4 linked regions of the Saccharomyces cerevisiae S288C genome follow. The protein of the gene in region 4 purifies or fractionates together with the protein of the main gene of each other region. This does not show direct contact. Each region holds a gene or a part of one and is shown on either strand. Other genes may lie near its edges.

Region 1 (4,247 bases), on a different chromosome or scaffold from region 4:
TTGATTATCTCTCATGCTTCATGTCCTACCTTTTTTCCTTCTTTCTTCCTTGTCTTAATCTGAAAGTTACTAATAATAATAAAGACAAAATATCACCCATGCACCAAAATGTATGGGTCATAATTTTTTTTCTTGCCTTCAAAAATCGTTGTTAGCTGCAAAATGGCGGTGAAACACATAGTTGTGGTTATGCGTCCCCTCCGGGCGGCCGCAGATGGAGGATGCCCCCATGTGCTGATTCTCCCCGTAGGCGGCGAGTAATATCCTCGCCTAACCTGGACTTGCCGTGCTAAGTCGGCCTTCTAGGCTGCGCTTCCGTTCAGCATCGTTTACGGTAGAGGGAGCACATGGGCGGAAACAAACCTCATTCTGGTCCTGTGCTTGCCCATTTGCACTGTATAGAGTGTGTGAGTTTCAATTAATGTTGTAGGCGCGAGGCCCTGTAATATGGCAGTTGATCAAAAGTCAATAGATAATTTTCAAGCAAAATCTCATTTAGGTTTGACTACTTTCTTGAACTTGGAAGAGAAGCAAATATATTCAACGAAATGACTGCCCAACAAGTATGTGTAAAGATGAGTAAATTGAAGGATGTGATGGTTATGGAGATGGCACACGTGCCTAGAGGAAAATAGTTACCCAAGAACAAAAGCAGGAAGGGAGCTAACCTTTTAAATATGAACTGGACAAAACTGGACAAAATGAAAATAACGATTTTAGTAAAAATGAAAATATAGCATCAAATGACTGAGAAACATAGTAACAATAACTCATATTATAGCTAATCTGAGTAAACTTCTTCCTACGCTAAGAATTTTTTTGAGGATAGTACCAAACCTTGTGCTGAATCAGCACACGCCATGCCCACCATCAATTGTGCAAGAAAAAAGTAAACGAGTAGTATACTAACTATATATGTGATTTACATCACGATATGTCAATTATAGGCCCCAAAGTGGTATCCTTCCGAAGACGTTGCTGCCCCAAAGAAAACCAGAAAGGCTGTTCGCCCACAAAAGTTGCGTGCCTCTCTAGTTCCAGGCACTGTTTTGATCTTGCTAGCTGGCCGTTTCAGAGGTAAGAGAGTTGTCTACTTGAAACATCTAGAAGACAACACTCTATTGGTCACTGGTCCATTCAAGGTCAATGGTGTTCCATTGAGAAGAGTCAACGCTCGTTATGTCATTGCTACCTCTACCAAAGTCTCCGTGGAAGGTGTCAACGTTGAAAAATTCAACGTTGAATACTTTGCCAAGGAAAAATTGACCAAGAAGGAAAAGAAGGAAGCTAACTTGTTCCCAGAACAACAAACTAAGGAAATCAAGACTGAACGTGTTGAAGATCAAAAGGTTGTTGACAAGGCTTTGTTGGCTGAAATCAAGAAGACCCCATTGTTGAAGCAATATTTGTCCGCTTCTTTCTCTTTGAAGAACGGTGACAAGCCACACCTATTGAAATTCTAAATTGAACTGAAAAAATTATAAATGATTTAAAATAGAATTTCAAAACAAGGAGAATTGATAGAGAATGCGTTGATCTGAAAATACTGTTTGACAATAACGGAAAGGTAAGTGGATATGTAATCTAAGTTTAATCCTCTTCTAATTCATTTTTCCTATCAACATTATCTGTGCTTTTCTATATCCTTCTTTTTGTATCTATAATTTTTTTTTTCTCTTACATAGCAAAATACAAAAAATCATAAATATTAATATCTAAGGGTTCAAGATCAGGTCATCGCCGTTCTGGGCCACTAGGCTATATCTATTCATTTACATTGGAAGCTGCATGGTCTACTCCAACCGCACTGAGGCAAAGTCTCTGTGGAGGAAATGCTGTCCTAGCGAGCCATTGCAATAGGTATAATCAGAGTCGTCCTCCCAATGTGTTAACTTCTCTCAAAACCACCATATAAATTCTGTAACCTGCCAGCGATAATGTTATATATGTAAAAGGTAAACATACAACCCAATTTGTCCATACTAAGTGGATGCTGGGGAAGCAACTACAGTGCAGATGCTAAAGTTTGCTGCGGCAAATAATCTCAACATTTTTGTGATTAAACCTGCCTCAGTGGGGTGTATGATTAGTGCGTTGATATTTAATACACGCGTAAAAGTTAAGTCTGTTGTACGTTTTATTTCGAGTGACGAAAGAACTACGAATAACTTCCTGCATACTGTTGCCTTTTTCTGTATTTACGTATACTTTTATATCAAATAGCTTGGCCAAAAGAAAGTAGCATTGTGTATCAAGTCATAATTCTAATTCTTAGTTTAACTTCAGCAAAAATAATATTCTTCGTCAGACATTCTCATACAATCATTAACCCATATGAACGTTAAATTTCTCAATTTCTTGCCTTCGATGCCCTATGTATATTTTTATCTCAAACCCGAGGCAGTGAAAATTTTAGCTGGTGCATCGAAAAGAGAAGGGCATTGAAAATTTTACAGTGTTAAAAGAAGTGCTTTTCATGTTAGAATGATAAGAAAAAAGAAAAAGACAACAAAATATACGTCTCTACCATGTCTGATATGCTTCCATTGGCTACGTATAGCCTGAATGTTGAACCATACTCCCCAACCCCAGCTCTGAACTTCAAAATTCCGGTTACCATTAGAATCACAATGGCGGCCATCGACCCTGAGCCCTTTGACGATGACAAAAAGCCATCTACTTTAAGAATAATCAAAAGGAATCCTGAACTCACTCGCGGTGAGTACTACAACCAAGATAACAATGACGGCCTCGAAGAGGATGAAAGTGAAAGTGAACAAGAAGCAGATGTACCAAAAAGGAGTGTCAAATCAAAAAAAGGTAAGGCAGTCGAGCAAAGTGAATCAGAAGACTCTGAAGATGAAAACGAAATCGACGATGAATTCGAAGAATGCGTTCTTTTAACCTTATCTCCAAAAGGCCAATATCAACAAGCTTTGGATATTACCATTGCACCAGAGGAAGACGTTCAATTCGTCGTTACCGGTTCATACACTATCTCTCTAACCGGTAACTACGTCAAACATCCATTCGACAATTCTTCAGATTCAGACGAAGATGAAGAAGACTATTACAGTGACGAAGAATCTTCCAATGGAGAAGAAGAAGAAGAAGAAGAAGAAGAGGACGATGAGGAACTAAGTTCCGGTGATGACGATCTTGATGATTTAGTAGATGCTAGTGACATCGAAAGTCGTCTTGATGAATTAGTCAAAAAGGACGAAAAGAAGAAAAACAACAAGAAGGACAGTAAAAGGAAACATGAGGAAGATGAGGAAGAAAGTGCTAAACCTGCCGAGAAAAAACAAACGACCAAGAAAGACAAGAAAGCAGAGAAAGTTAAAGACTCGGAAGAGAGCAAACCAAAGCCAAAGACGAAGCTACTGGAAGGCGGTATTATCATTGAAGACCGCGTCACAGGAAAAGGCCCACATGCCAAAAAGGGTACCAGAGTTGGAATGAGATATGTTGGTAAGTTGAAGAACGGGAAAGTTTTTGACAAGAATACAAAGGGTAAGCCTTTTGTTTTTAAGTTGGGCCAAGGCGAAGTAATTAAAGGATGGGACATCGGTGTTGCTGGTATGGCGGTCGGTGGTGAGCGTAGAATTGTCATTCCTGCTCCATATGCCTACGGTAAACAAGCTTTGCCCGGTATTCCTGCTAACTCTGAATTGACATTTGATGTTAAATTGGTCTCCATGAAATAGGGTCCTTAATGCATACGTATTGATATATGTATCTATAATACTATATACAATTATCTATACTTCCATTACTAATATTATCTTTCAATTTTACATGTTTTTTTCTGCCATAAAAAAGCAATATTTTTTTGCGAGCTATTTAGTGATATAGCCGCCCAGCTACTTGTCGATGCATATATTGGCTGAGAGTACTAATACAATTATCGGAAGACCTCAAAGTAAAATATAGAAGCTTTGAGTAAAAGGAGCTCGAGTTTTAAAAATGACTTCGTAATATGTAAAGTTTATGTCATATATACTTACACGATAAATAGACCATTGATCGTTAGAGACGAGCGCATTGTTTTGTTGAATCCCTTTCAACAGCGCGACAAAAGTTAATCGAGAACAATAAGATGTTGCATTCAAGGGTTAGTCAAACATATCAGAAGGCCGTTTTCTAAATCACCTCAAGAACCTACCACACAGATACATCTTGAAGAGGTGGAGTACCAAAGGGAATATTTTGTACGAGCAAGTTATAGTAAGACACTTCAGTGAGAA
Region 2 (4,176 bases), on a different chromosome or scaffold from region 4:
ACACCACACCTCTCTAGCAATTTTTCCTTATCCTCATCCGTAACTTTTTCACCTTTACCCTCGTACAAATCTGGTAAATCCTTTTTTAGAACTAACAATGCACTAATTACAGTATCAACCAAGATTTGAGTTTCTTCTTTAGTAAATTTGGTCCTAGTTGGATTGGAGTCATCGTTCAAATGTTCCTCTATATTGTCTAGAGTTATTCCGCTTTCATTGAATACCAAGCGCGCCCAATTATTTAGGTTTCCTAAGAAGAATCTGATGGATTCACCTTCTAGTACCGATACACCCTTTAAGCACCCATAGTAAGTCCCAAAAACACGGTTTATGTCCAAAAATGTCTTTAGCAGTGTCCTAGTTACTCTTGGCTTCAGGGATTTGTATGCTTGAGGAAATTTTTTCAATACATAGTCCAACAAAGATGCGGCAAAATCACGTAGTGCATTCGTTCTTTCTAAAAATTCATGAATTTCTTGCGGCGAATCATCTTTTGGTGATCCACCAAGTTTTTTTGCTAATAGCAAGGTTAAAATGGAAGGCATTAACGAATGAATATAAGGGTCCAGGAAAATAGAAGTATTGCTTAGTAAAGAGTAAATCATTTCCAAAATTGTTGTTAGCAATTGTAAATCGGAAAGATTTTGTGTGATTTGTTCGGCAATAAATTGAATAAAATATGGAACCAGTTGGTGCAGGCCACTATCAGTTCGTAGTGAAGTCAAAGCTGCTTGTTTCATATGCTGTGCAGCTTCATCAGCTTGACTCTTCGCTGTCAAGGTTGAAATGACCTTATTGAAATAAATCTGTAATTCTTTGGATAAAACGTGTTTCACTAAAGGTTTGACTTCAGTATTCTGTCCTGGTTTAACATTAGACAGGTGTTGAGAGGCGCCTGTATCCGTCACAGAAGCACTTGCTGTCGTCGACGTTACAGGTGTTTGGAGGCTGTTATCATTCAAAGCAGTGACAATAGCACCTCTAATAAATGGTGGTTGGGATACCCTTATATCATTCAAATTTGGATTTTGGATTATGGCAGGTTGAACCCCTTCAACTGCTAGCCAATGTGTAGTAAAAGTTGGTAGACGAGGCACTTGCGGTAATGGCTCATTTATTAATCTATCAAAATCTACTTCTTCCTCATCCAGGTAGTAAACCGACTGTCCTCCACTTGTGTTAACCTTACTAAATGATACAGCTTTATTAACTTCAGAGCCATCATAATATCCATATAAAGGTTCCACATTCAGAACACGCAGGGCCTTCGATACATCGTCTGTAGTTAAAACATCTCTTTTAGAGTGTCTTTTAAACTTGACTGCCTGTTCAATAATCTCTAGAATACGGTATTCAACGTCCATAGCAAGTGCTTTCAACACGTCATCGTTGATATTTTCCAACCCAAGCGACTCAGCGACATCTTTAACAGTATCTTGTGGAGACCAAATTGTGTAAGATTGCTGCTGTGTAGACATTTTAACAGGCTATCAACTACACTGAGGCGTCCTTTGCTTCCTTTTTAAAGCCAATCTATTGTTTTCGCTCATGAACTACTTTTGCTGCTACTTGAATCGGTGTTTGTTATTGATGGTTTCCGGGTATTTTTTTGGTAATAAAATAAAGCTGAAAAATTTTGTAAAGCGATGCCCAATCTCGAAGCCTCACTTCAATGAACATAATACAGAGAAAATTTAACCATAAATAGGCCCAGCTTCGATCGTAAAATGAGGTTACTAGTCAGCTGTGTGGATAGTGGATCCATAAAGGAAGTTTTGTGTAACATCGGGACTGACACTTCCGTACAATCAGCACTGCAGCCTTTTCATGTGGCACCTCATCTAGCCGAAGGATTGAAAGCTTACGTTGACAGGATGTGGGTGATATCCGAAGATGAAGCCATCTTAGCAAGGAATTCAGGGGTCGTCGAACTTGTAAAGATTTCGAAACACCTTAAAGAAAATGAAGCTCTCCAGGTCGATCCCAAAGGAGAAAGCAAAAATGAAAAGAGCCTTTCCGATGATCTACCCAAATTTGACATATCCGAGTTTGAGATAACCAGCTCAGTTTCAGACCTTTTTGATGATGCCAAATTGGAATCACTTTCAAGTAAATCTGTTAAAAGAACCAAGTTGGTGGATGGTTTTGTCACATTATGTCCCATAAAAAAGGATTCGTCGAATAACACATTCGTAGCTGCTACCAAATCGGGATTATTACATATTATAAAAAAAGGAGAAGATAAAAAGTTAATAAAACTAGCATCCCTTGGACTGAAAGCACCAGTAGAATTTCTTCAGTTATATGATCTAGAAGATACCGATACTGATAAATATATATTTGCATACGGAGGGGAGGAGAATTTAATAAAATTAGTGGAAATAGATTCGAGTTTCCAATCTTTAAAGCAAATTTGGGAAGCCAAGAATGTTAAAAACGACAGGTTGGATATGAGAGTCCCAGTATGGCCCATGGCCCTAAGATTTTTGGAGCCCTCCCCTGGTAAAACTGAAAAGGGTAAGCTGAACTACCAGTTTGCAGCCATAACCCGTTGGTCCCACCTCACCAAATACAGCACACAACATGGCAGAAAACCGTTCGCTCAGATAGATTTATTACCTAACCGTGAACCATTATCTCAGATGGAAGTTTTTGATGCCAAGGGAGAAAATGTTGTCTCTTCGTTGGGGAATTTTCAATCTGAAACCTTTAATGAACTGAATGTGATTACTACTGACTACAAAAAGAATGTTTTTAAATTCGATGGTAATGGAAGAATGTTGGGCAAGGTGGGTAGAGATGATATCACTGGTTCGTCAACCTATATTCATGTACATGACGGCAAATATCTTTTACAAGGTGGTTTAGATAGGTATGTTCGGATCTTCGATATAAAAACTAACAAAATGCTGGTGAAGGTTTATGTTGGGTCCCGTATAAATTTTATTGTTATGCTGGATGACGTTGAAATCGAGATGCCACTAAGTCCAAGTGCGAAAGCTGCCAAAGGGAAGCAAAAAAGGAAGGTTACAGAACTTGAAGAAGACGCAGATGAGCTTTGGAATAAATTGGAGGGAAAGGTAGCTGCTTCTAAAGCCAGTAAGAAAAGCAAAATTTAATAGTAAAGGACGCTAATTGAAGGCAAAGTTTTACTAGTCGGCGGGAAAAATTATTAAAAAAAGCACTTCCTGAACGCGACGCTGAATAACTTATAATACGTTACATAATTGTATACCGTCTAGTAAACTTACATACGCTTGTCTATCTTGTATGCTGATGCATTTTATCAAATAGCGTTATTTCCCGCACGAGCCAATTTTTTATCGTGCCCCTTCTTACGGTTATGGTTAGCTCTAGCCCCTTTCCTTTTTTCATTCTTAGCATGCTGTCTTTTCTTCTGTTCAGTAGATTGAGGTTCATGTTTCTTAATATTTTCAGATTTTTTTTGTTTGGCTTGTTCTTTGACGACATTTCCATCATTTTGGCTATCACGATTATGAACATAAGACGTTTTCCCTGTTTTGCTATTTCCTTTGAACATAAACTTCTTTTCTAAAAGTCTTGCTCGGGTAGGAGATCTTTCTAACATCCGACACCAACCTTCGATTTTTTCATCCGACCATGAAGTCATTTCTTTCATAGTTTTCCTGACTTTTGTACCTCTTTTTGATCTCTCAAATAATTTCGGATCCTCTTTCAATAGATTCCACAAGTAAGCTTCAACAATATGATAGTTATGATCTTGTCGCACTTCATTAGAATCATCTTTTGTATCATAGCTTTCTTCGTCTTCTTGAAGTCCAATTCTTTTCGAAGGATCGGACCGGTTCACATCGGCTTCATCATAAGTGTCATCCCTTTCATCTTCATCAGCCTCGTATAAAAGTTTCAATGCTCTTGTCAAAGTTTTATTTCTTAATTCATCCGGAACACCCTCCGAGATAATCTTTTTGTCTAGCTCTTTATTTTTTGAGCTATCTCCTCTATCCAATATACTCAGTTCTTCAGTAAAGGATGCATTATCACCATCTGACACCGGCTCTACTTCTTCCTCCGCAGGTTCTCTGGAGAATGCTTCGATAATGGTAGGATCCTCAAATATTTTATTCGTTACTAATTCAATGTTATTATCATAGGCAAGCAACGTTTGAGATAATTGATATTTAGAAAACTGGG
Region 3 (4,075 bases), on a different chromosome or scaffold from region 4:
TTTTGTGCAAATGTAAATACTAAATGAAAGCCCTATTTTGTGTAGGGTTTACACCGCACAAAGTAAAAAGAAGCGATAAAAATGAAAAAAAGTAGTCAAAATACATACTATCAAAGTAAGGGCATTGGTGAAATACTGCGAGGCTGGCCTTTTCCGCAAATATCTGGGGCAGCGAAGCGAAGGGGCCCGATAGGAACTTTTGGGGCGGGAGCCCTTGCATTGACATGGTTAAGGTTTTACATCCATCATTCTCCCCCTCTCTTGTGGTTTAAAAAAATAAAAGGTGGCCGATTTTTATGTAATATAGAAACGACTTCTGTCCTTCTGTCCTCTGTATTACCTAATTTTCTTTCTCTTGATGGTATTTAACTTTCTAAGCATTATAAGATAATATTAAAGGGAAAGTGTTTCTAGAATGCAATCGAGCTTACCTCAATTTACGTTCAAATGGCCCAAAGGACCCGAAGCAATTATTCTGACAGGCACGTTCGACGACTGGAAAGGTACTTTGCCGATGGTGAAGGACCCCAGTGGCGCCTTCGAAATAACGCTGCCAGTAACGTTTGATAGCCCTAGCAGCAAGTTTTATTTCAAGTTTATTGTTGATGGCCAATGGCTGCCAAGCAAAGACTACAAGGTGAACATCGACGAGGGAGTGGAAAACAACTTTATTACCGAGGAAGACGTAATAAAGCAACGCGAAAATGGCTCTAGCACGCTGGTACCTGAAAGTGCCGGATTAGCTGTTTCAAAGAATGCCCCTCTTATCGAACCAGAAGCTGAAAAACGTGCAAAAAAATTAAGAAAGTTCAAGATCAAGAGAGTGATCAAGACAAATAAACAAACCGGAGAAAGGTCGATATTTTCCCAAGAAGTGGTTGAATTGCCCGATAGCGAGGATGAAACCCAGCAGGTGAACAAAACGGGCAAGAATGCGGATGGCTTAAGCGGTACTACAACGATAATTGAGAATAATGTTGGTGTAAACGAGGAAAAAGCAATCAAGCCGTATGAAGAGAATCACCCCAAAGTTAATCTAGTTAAGAGTGAAGGATATGTTACGGACGGTTTGGGTAAGACGCAATCTTCTGAGTCTAGATTATATGAACTATCGGCCGAAGATCTTGAAAAGGAAGAAGAGGAAGAGGACGAAGATAAAGGCGGCGGTAAGGACACCAGTACAAGTGCAGACGCTGAAGCTTCAGAAGATCAAAATAAGGAACCATTAAGTAAATCCGCTAAATTTGAAAAACCGGAAGAAAAAGTACCTGTAAGCTCAATTACAAGCCATGCTAAAGAGACTTCTGTGAAACCAACCGGCAAGGTTGCGACTGAGACTCAAACTTACGAGACGAAACAGGGCGCTCCTACCGCTGCCGCAAAAAAAATCGAAGCTAAGAAAGCTACTAGACCTTCGAAACCTAAGGGCACGAAAGAAACACCAAATAAAGGTGTCCAAAAGAACCCTGCTAAGAATGGAGGGTTCTTTAAAAAGTTGGCCCAGCTTTTGAAGTGAAAACAATCAGGAGAATACCTAAATATATGACGTACTCGCCATACCTAACTATGTAAAACCTAATTATGTATTAATAACAATACCATGTTGTATGTAAACTCTGATGTAGGATCGCACTTTTGCCGAAAGCACATGCTTGTCTTTGTATTTCGCTTGTACGCCTTTGCTCAGAAAATTCTGTAGGAGTCACGTTTCCCGTTGAAATGCAAAAACCTGAAATTTTTCAGTCTGAAAGAAAAAATTGCGATGAGCATAGATGATAAATTTAACCATACAACAAAGAGAAATCCTTTTCCCCACAGAACATTACCTAAACCCAACAACTTTCTATAATTTGAGATAGAATGTCAGAAACAGAACTGTCGAAAGAAGATGCTGTTACAAAAAAGGATAACGAGGAACAAGTCAAGAAGGCTTTACTCGATCCAACAAAAAAGAGAAAAGCTGAAGATGAAATTGAGATTGACCTGAAAAGCTCCATTCCCCTATCAAAAAAACAGAAACGTCTCTTGAGAAGAGGTAAAGTTACTCTAGAGGAGTTGAATGCGAAGTACAATATCGACCCTAAGTCAATCGAGGAATACAAAGAAGATGCTGAAAAGAAAAAGTCTGGTGCTTCTGAGAAAGACGCCCAGGGTGAAGAATCTACAATCAACACTCCAACAGGAGATGAATCTGGCGAGGTTGTAAAAAAGAAGAAGAAAGATGAAAATAAATATGGTGTTTGGATTGGTAACTTATCCTTCGACACCACAAAGGACGATTTAGTAAGATTTTTTATTGCTAAAACAAAAGACAACGAAGATGAAAAGAGCAGAGTCACCGAACAAGACATAACCAGGTTATCCATGCCTCGTGTTGCTGCCAAGAACTCTAACGCCATGAAAAATAAGGGATTTTGCTACATGTTTTTCAAGAACGTCGAGCAGATGAAAGCGGTCTTAGAATTATCTGAATCTCATTTAAACGGAAGGAATATGCTAATCAAGGACTCCGAAAATTATTCAGGTAGGCCAGACAAGGACGATTTAGTTGCCATGTCCAAAAATCCACCGTCAAGGATTCTATTTGTCGGTAATTTGTCATTCGATGTCACAGATGATCTGTTAAGAAAACACTTCCAACATTGTGGTGATATCGTGAAAATCCGCATGGCAACATTCGAAGATAGTGGTAAATGTAAAGGATTCGCATTTATCGACTTCAAGAATGAAGAAGGATCTACTAATGCATTAAAGGATAAAAGTTGTAGAAAAATTGCCGGAAGGCCATTGCGAATGGAATACGGTGAAGATAGAAGTAAAAGACAAGTTCGTAAGAAGGTTGAAAATGTATCCAGAAACAATTCCTCATCATTTGATATCTCTAACAACAAAGGATACGATCGTGCGGGACAGGATAACGGCAGCAAACCCGAATACAAGCGGTCCAACGCCAACAGACGTCCACCTGTAGATTCCAATAACCGAACTAAGAGCAGTGTAGCTTTAGCCACTGCTCAGAGAGGTTCTGCAGCTATTGTCCCATCACAAGGTAAGAAAGTGAAGTTTGACTAATCAGCGTGAACTGACTGTAGGTGCCACGTATATAATGCGATTATTTCGCTTGTAAATTATTCAATCATTCATGTTTTATATATACATTGTATAACCAATTGCTGCTATTTTTATTTTTTCCATTATTGCTTATCAAGGCACGGGGAGAACGCACGGAAAAAAAAAAAAAAAAGAAGAAAGAAATGAGGTAAACAAGATCTTTAGGAGCGGTTCGCATATTAGTAATACACTGATAATCGCCGTACACTCATAAAATCCTAAACTACTCACCAGGTACCGAAACACTACTGATCCGTTTTTTGGACTGGTTGTTGGCACACTTTCGCTTAAGACACACATTTAGTATTTCAATCCCCATCCGTCGATATCTGAAGGAAATCTAAAAGAAAAGCTGGATAGAGTAATTATTTTGGCCATCGTATGAACTCCAATAGTACCATCGGAAGGACCACCCTTGGAGAATCTGATACGATATCCCTGTCATTCAGTGAACCAAGTAGCAGTCTGAATTCACGATCAACGGATGTTGTCTTCGCATCTACTTCAACTTTAGTACCCCAACAAGGAAGTCTGACCTCATTACCGCCCGTGTCTAGTACAGCTACTCCTACATATTATTCTACAAGCTTAACATATGATGAGACTTTGCATACATCCATTGATGTATCTTCGACAAGTACTTTAGTATCATCTACCGACAGCAGTTCATCGAGCGAGCAAGATACGTATAGTTCCCAATATGACCCAGCTACCTCCTCATACTCAATAATTACACCATCCATGTCCATTTTCTCATCGACGTCACCAATGTCATCATCGTCGTCAATAACGTCGGAATGGTCATCGTTAACATCAACAACACCAACGTTATCGTCATCAGCTACATCGCTGTCATCATCATGGTCGTCGTTATCATCACCATCTTCGTTACTGGTATCGTCCTCGTTGTCATTATCACTATCTTCATCATATTCAGACACTAAATTGTTTTCGTTCGACAGCA
Region 4 (5,224 bases):
TTCCATTTTGAGGATTCCTATATCCTCGAGGAGAACTTCTAGTATATTCTGTATACCTAATATTATAGCCTTTATCAACAATGGAATCCCAACAATTATCTAATTACCCACATATATCTCACCTTCTTACACTGTATATGATAATATATTAATATTAAACCAGTCAATAAATGTAATTGATTATTTCAACACGAAAACCTAACTATCAACGATATCACATAGAACAGCGAAGAGTTAGAAGATTTATTAGAAGATTTATTAGTATAGGTTATTTTAGATGCAATTTTTCAATAAAACCTGGTTTCGTGGTCTAGTCGGTTATGGCATCTGCTTAACACGCAGAACGTCCCCAGTTCGATCCTGGGCGAAATCATTTTTTTAGCACTTTAGCAGCATATTGCGGTATCGAATCATCTTCATGAATGGCGCAGATTTATTTGAACTGTTCAATCATAAATTAACCTTATGTGAATAGTCTGGGTAGGTTGAAACTTCGGAAATCACTTGCTTTTCTGAGGGCTGCGCGTAATCTAGATAGATCTACCTAAATGACACCGATGGCAACTTCAAGCTATACTAACTCCTAGACATTACTTTCTTCAGTATTCCCTTAGTGCCTGTTTTGAGCTATGAGATTGGTATTATTATTTGAAATATCTTCTATTGCGGTATCTGATTTTATATTTCTAGCTTTGTCATAAAATATAAAATACACAAATATATATATAGAGATAAGATAGATTATTTTTGATGACTTGCAAGTTGCACTAGGATTTGTTTTTCTTCTAAAAACCCCTTAAAGGTATTTCCAGAGAAAATATTATGCTGGTTATTCGATACTATTATCCAGTATACACTGACCTATGTTATAAGCAAAGGTTCTTCGTTCTGCCTCTTTAACAGGTGGAGTGCGTGCCATTATCATCAATGAAAGTTTAACATGTAATTGTCATCAGCTGTATACTGTTCGAATCTGTTCATTACGAAGGTTTAACTTCAAAAATCGAAAAGAAAAAAAATAGAAGATAAGAATATTGCATAGATCCTTCTTTTTTAGTGAAGTCACCGAATAATACATATAATGAAGTTAAAATTACAAACCGTGCAAAAACACCGCTGATTTAGAGTGGGCGATTTCATAGATCAAAAAGCAGGCTAAATATGAATTGAAAATTAAGTAGTCTACTATTTTCTGACAGCAGTGGCGCGCGACGGTTTCCAGGAAGTTTATTATTCAACGTGTCCAATTTTCACACGCTGCTTGACATCGTTATTCCCTGAACGCATTTTTACACTGTATGCGCAATTTGAGCCACTTTGATGGACTATTATGTATGAATAGCTTAGCTTAAAGAAGTAACAGTAGAGTGTTGAACCTTTAAGTGCTTGATGTACTCGAGCCTTTTTCTATGATACCTCACTCCAGAAAAAAGCGTTTAACATATCTGGCATTGAGGGTGGTCTCAAACAATAAAAGTATCCTATTTAATATTTTAACATTGCTGATAACCTAAAAAATCTGAACGTTGCCAGCATAAAACCTCAGCTTTATATCGTACTGAATAACATACTTACTGCAGGGCGAAATTTTTCTCAAATTGTGCCTAAATCGTTAAGTTACTAAACTTTTACGCGCAGTACTGGCATTGAGCGATCAATATTGTTTAATGCGTAGTGACGATCTTCTCCACTTATATTTTTTTATTCGTAGTTCTCTATTTTCGTTTCGATTTGTTTTCTCTGTCTACCAGATTAAAAGTGATTTGAAGTTTTTTATCATGAACTAAACAATAAAATTACAAAAAAAAAAAGTCAGCGTCACCAAGGATTGCTACCAATATACGACTTTACTGCTGTATTATCGAATTTTACCTTCTAGGATATTATGTAAAGTCTCTAGCAAAGGGAGAAAACTAATGTTACTAGGACTGAAGAACATTTTCCTCTTATAGTGTAAAATTGATTTTGACAAGAATATAATTAATACATTTTTTTTCTTTTGATAGCAGTATTGAGTACAATGAATTGAGCATTCAAGGTTCAACATGTGATAGTAGCTCTACCGCTAGTATGTTATTGCTAATTAAGTAGGATTGAATTGTCGCGATTTTGTCATTTTGGGTTTTAATAACTCTTGTACGGGTTACCCCATTTGTTTTTGAAGATTAGTGAAAAATTATTGAAAATTTTTTTTTTTTTGGTTTTGCGATGAGCTTATAATTTACATATGTGATATATTCGCATATAGATCCTAGCGAAGAAAGGTACTGTATTAAATCTGTTCTAACATAACTAGGTCAATGATGGCTAAGAACAACAAAACTACCGAGGCAAAGATGTCGAAAAAGAGAGCAGCTAGCGAAGAATCTGATGTCGAGGAAGATGAGGACAAGCTTTTATCCGTTGACGGTTTGATCGATGCGGAAGCAAGTGAGAGTGACGAGGATGATGACGAATACGAGTCTGCCGTTGAAGAAAAGGAATCATCTTCTGATAAAGAAGCCCAAGATGATTCTGATGATGACTCCGATGCTGAATTAAACAAACTGCTTGCCGAAGAAGAAGGTGATGGGGAAGAGGACTATGACAGTTCTGAGTTTTCAGACGACACAACTTCCTTAACAGACAGATTATCGGGTGTGAAATTGCAAACGATCGTTGATCCGAATATTTACTCAAAATATGCAGATGGCAGTGATAGAATTATCAAACCTGAAATTAATCCAGTTTATGATAGCGATGATAGTGATGCCGAAACGCAAAATACCATTGGTAATATTCCACTTTCTGCATACGATGAAATGCCACACATTGGATACGATATCAACGGTAAAAGGATTATGAGACCTGCCAAGGGTTCTGCTTTAGATCAACTGTTGGATTCTATCGAGCTACCTGAAGGCTGGACTGGTTTACTGGACAAGAATTCCGGTTCAAGTTTGAACTTAACCAAAGAGGAATTAGAACTTATTTCCAAAATCCAAAGGAACGAACAAACTGATGATAGCATAAATCCATACGAACCGTTAATCGATTGGTTCACGAGACACGAAGAAGTGATGCCATTAACTGCTGTTCCGGAGCCAAAAAGAAGATTTGTTCCATCCAAAAACGAAGCCAAGAGAGTTATGAAAATTGTAAGAGCTATCAGAGAGGGCCGTATTATTCCTCCTAAAAAATTAAAGGAAATGAAAGAAAAGGAAAAAATTGAAAACTATCAATACGATTTATGGGGTGATTCTACGGAAACAAATGATCATGTAATGCATCTAAGGGCACCAAAATTACCTCCACCAACTAATGAAGAGAGTTATAATCCACCAGAAGAGTATCTTTTGTCTCCTGAAGAAAAGGAGGCCTGGGAAAATACTGAATATAGTGAAAGAGAAAGAAACTTCATACCTCAAAAGTATTCTGCCTTAAGAAAGGTCCCTGGTTACGGTGAATCTATTAGGGAAAGATTTGAAAGATCTTTGGATTTATATTTAGCTCCTCGTGTCCGTAAAAACAAATTGAATATTGATCCTAATTCTCTAATTCCAGAACTTCCCTCTCCCAAGGATTTAAGACCCTTCCCTATTCGTTGCTCAACAATATACGCTGGTCACAAAGGAAAAGTACGCACATTATCCATTGATCCTTCTGGATTATGGCTAGCAACAGGATCTGATGACGGAACAGTCAGGGTATGGGAAATTTTAACTGGTAGAGAAGTTTATAGAACTACTTTAATCGATGACGAGGAAAACCCAGATTACCACATTGAATGCATTGAATGGAATCCTGATGCTAATAATGGTATTCTCGCCGTTGCTGTTGGTGAAAACATTCATTTAATAGTACCACCAATATTCGGCTACGATATTGAAAATAACGGCAAAACTAAGATTGAAGATGGTTTTGGCTACGATACTTTTGGGACTGTTAAAAAATCTAACCTAGAAGTGAACGAGAATGGTGATGGCGATGAAGATGGAGAGAATGAATCTGCTAAGAATGCTGTAAAAAAACAAGTAGCCCAATGGAACAAGCCTTCTCAAAAGCAACTAGAAAAGGATATTTGTATCACTATTTCTTGCAAAAAAACAGTAAAAAAGCTTTCATGGCATAGAAAAGGTGATTACTTTGTCACTGTTCAACCTGACTCTGGTAACACTTCTGTTTTGATTCACCAAGTTTCCAAGCATTTAACCCAATCCCCATTCAAAAAATCGAAGGGCATTATTATGGATGCGAAGTTCCATCCTTTTAAACCTCAATTATTTGTCTGTTCCCAAAGATATGTCAGAATTTATGATTTATCTCAACAAATATTGGTCAAGAAACTGTTGCCTGGTGCCCGTTGGTTATCGAAAATCGATATTCACCCAAGGGGTGATAATTTAATTGCGTCATCGTTTGACAAGAGAGTTTTATGGCACGACCTGGATTTGGCTAGCACACCTTACAAGACACTAAGATATCATGAAAAAGCCGTCAGAAGTGTGAATTTCCACAAAAAGTTACCTCTATTCAGCTCTGCCGCTGATGACGGTACCATACATGTTTTCCATGCCACTGTTTATGATGACATGATGAAAAATCCGATGATTGTGCCACTAAAGAAACTAACCGGTCATAAAGTAATCAATAGTCTGGGTGTTCTTGATGCTATTTGGCATCCGAGGGAAGCTTGGCTGTTTTCTGCCGGTGCTGATAATACGGCTCGCTTATGGACCACCTAGATAAATAATTTGAAGTAGATATTGTATAATAACGCCCAAGAAGAAAAAATCAAACACTCGAACCAGGCTCTTTCTACAAGCTTTATTTACACAATATATATAAACCTATATGTATAGATGCCCACACGCACGTTTGGATTATTACCTTCAATGACATTGCTAAAAGCCCATTTCCTTCATAGCATCCAACTCATCTTGATCTACGCCAAACTCATCTCCCCCTGGCAATAAATCATAATGAGTATGTTGTCCCTCTATATCATTCATTTCCCACTCTTCCAAACTTTGAATCAGTTGAACGTCTTCTTCAGTCATAGAGCCTTTTTCCATTTTTCTATGCGCATCTAGCCATCCTAATAAGAGCTTCTTCTCATTTTCTTCAAGGCCAACGGGCCCTTGTACCCTGAATGTCTTCAATAATGCATCCAAATCTTCCTTAGGCGGCACAACGTTGTTAAGTACCGTTTCATTATTCCCACGTTCGTCCAAAACTCGTCCTC

Evidence for each region.
Region 1: the proteins of ERB1 (region 4) and FPR4 purify together in Saccharomyces cerevisiae (affinity purification with mass spectrometry; 3 studies listed by BioGRID). This does not show direct contact.
Region 2: the proteins of ERB1 (region 4) and NSA1 purify together in Saccharomyces cerevisiae (affinity purification with mass spectrometry; 10 studies listed by BioGRID, with this or other methods). This does not show direct contact.
Region 3: the proteins of ERB1 (region 4) and NOP13 purify together in Saccharomyces cerevisiae (affinity purification with mass spectrometry; 2 studies listed by BioGRID). This does not show direct contact.

The regions. Positions count from the first base shown.
Region 1 is NC_001144.5:1,028,306-1,032,552, forward strand, and holds FPR4 (peptidylprolyl isomerase FPR4), read left to right. Parts: upstream 1-2,528; coding exon 2,529-3,707; downstream 3,708-4,247. Other genes in the region: 60S ribosomal protein eL6 RPL6B, read left to right, coding at 549-563, 948-1,463. UniProt on the Saccharomyces cerevisiae protein: PPIase that acts as a histone chaperone. Histone proline isomerase that increases the rate of cis-trans isomerization at 'Pro-17' (H3P16), 'Pro-31' (H3P30) and 'Pro-39 (H3P38) on the histone H3 N-terminal tail.
Region 2 is NC_001139.9:298,251-302,426, forward strand, and holds NSA1 (ribosome biosynthesis protein NSA1), read left to right. Parts: upstream 1-1,727; coding exon 1,728-3,119; downstream 3,120-4,176. Other genes in the region: TATA-binding protein-associated factor TAF6, read right to left, coding at 1-1,478; CUE3 (Cue3p), read right to left, coding at 3,287-4,176. UniProt on the Saccharomyces cerevisiae protein: Involved in the biogenesis of the 60S ribosomal subunit.
Region 3 is NC_001146.8:306,398-310,472, reverse strand, and holds NOP13 (Nop13p), read left to right. Parts: upstream 1-1,860; coding exon 1,861-3,072; downstream 3,073-4,075. Other genes in the region: MDG1 (Mdg1p), read left to right, coding at 416-1,516; TDA7 (Tda7p), read left to right, coding at 3,493-4,075.
Region 4 is NC_001145.3:367,594-372,817, reverse strand, and holds ERB1 (ribosome biogenesis protein ERB1), read left to right. Parts: upstream 1-2,300; coding exon 2,301-4,724; downstream 4,725-5,224. Other genes in the region: CSM3 (Csm3p), read right to left, coding at 4,884-5,224.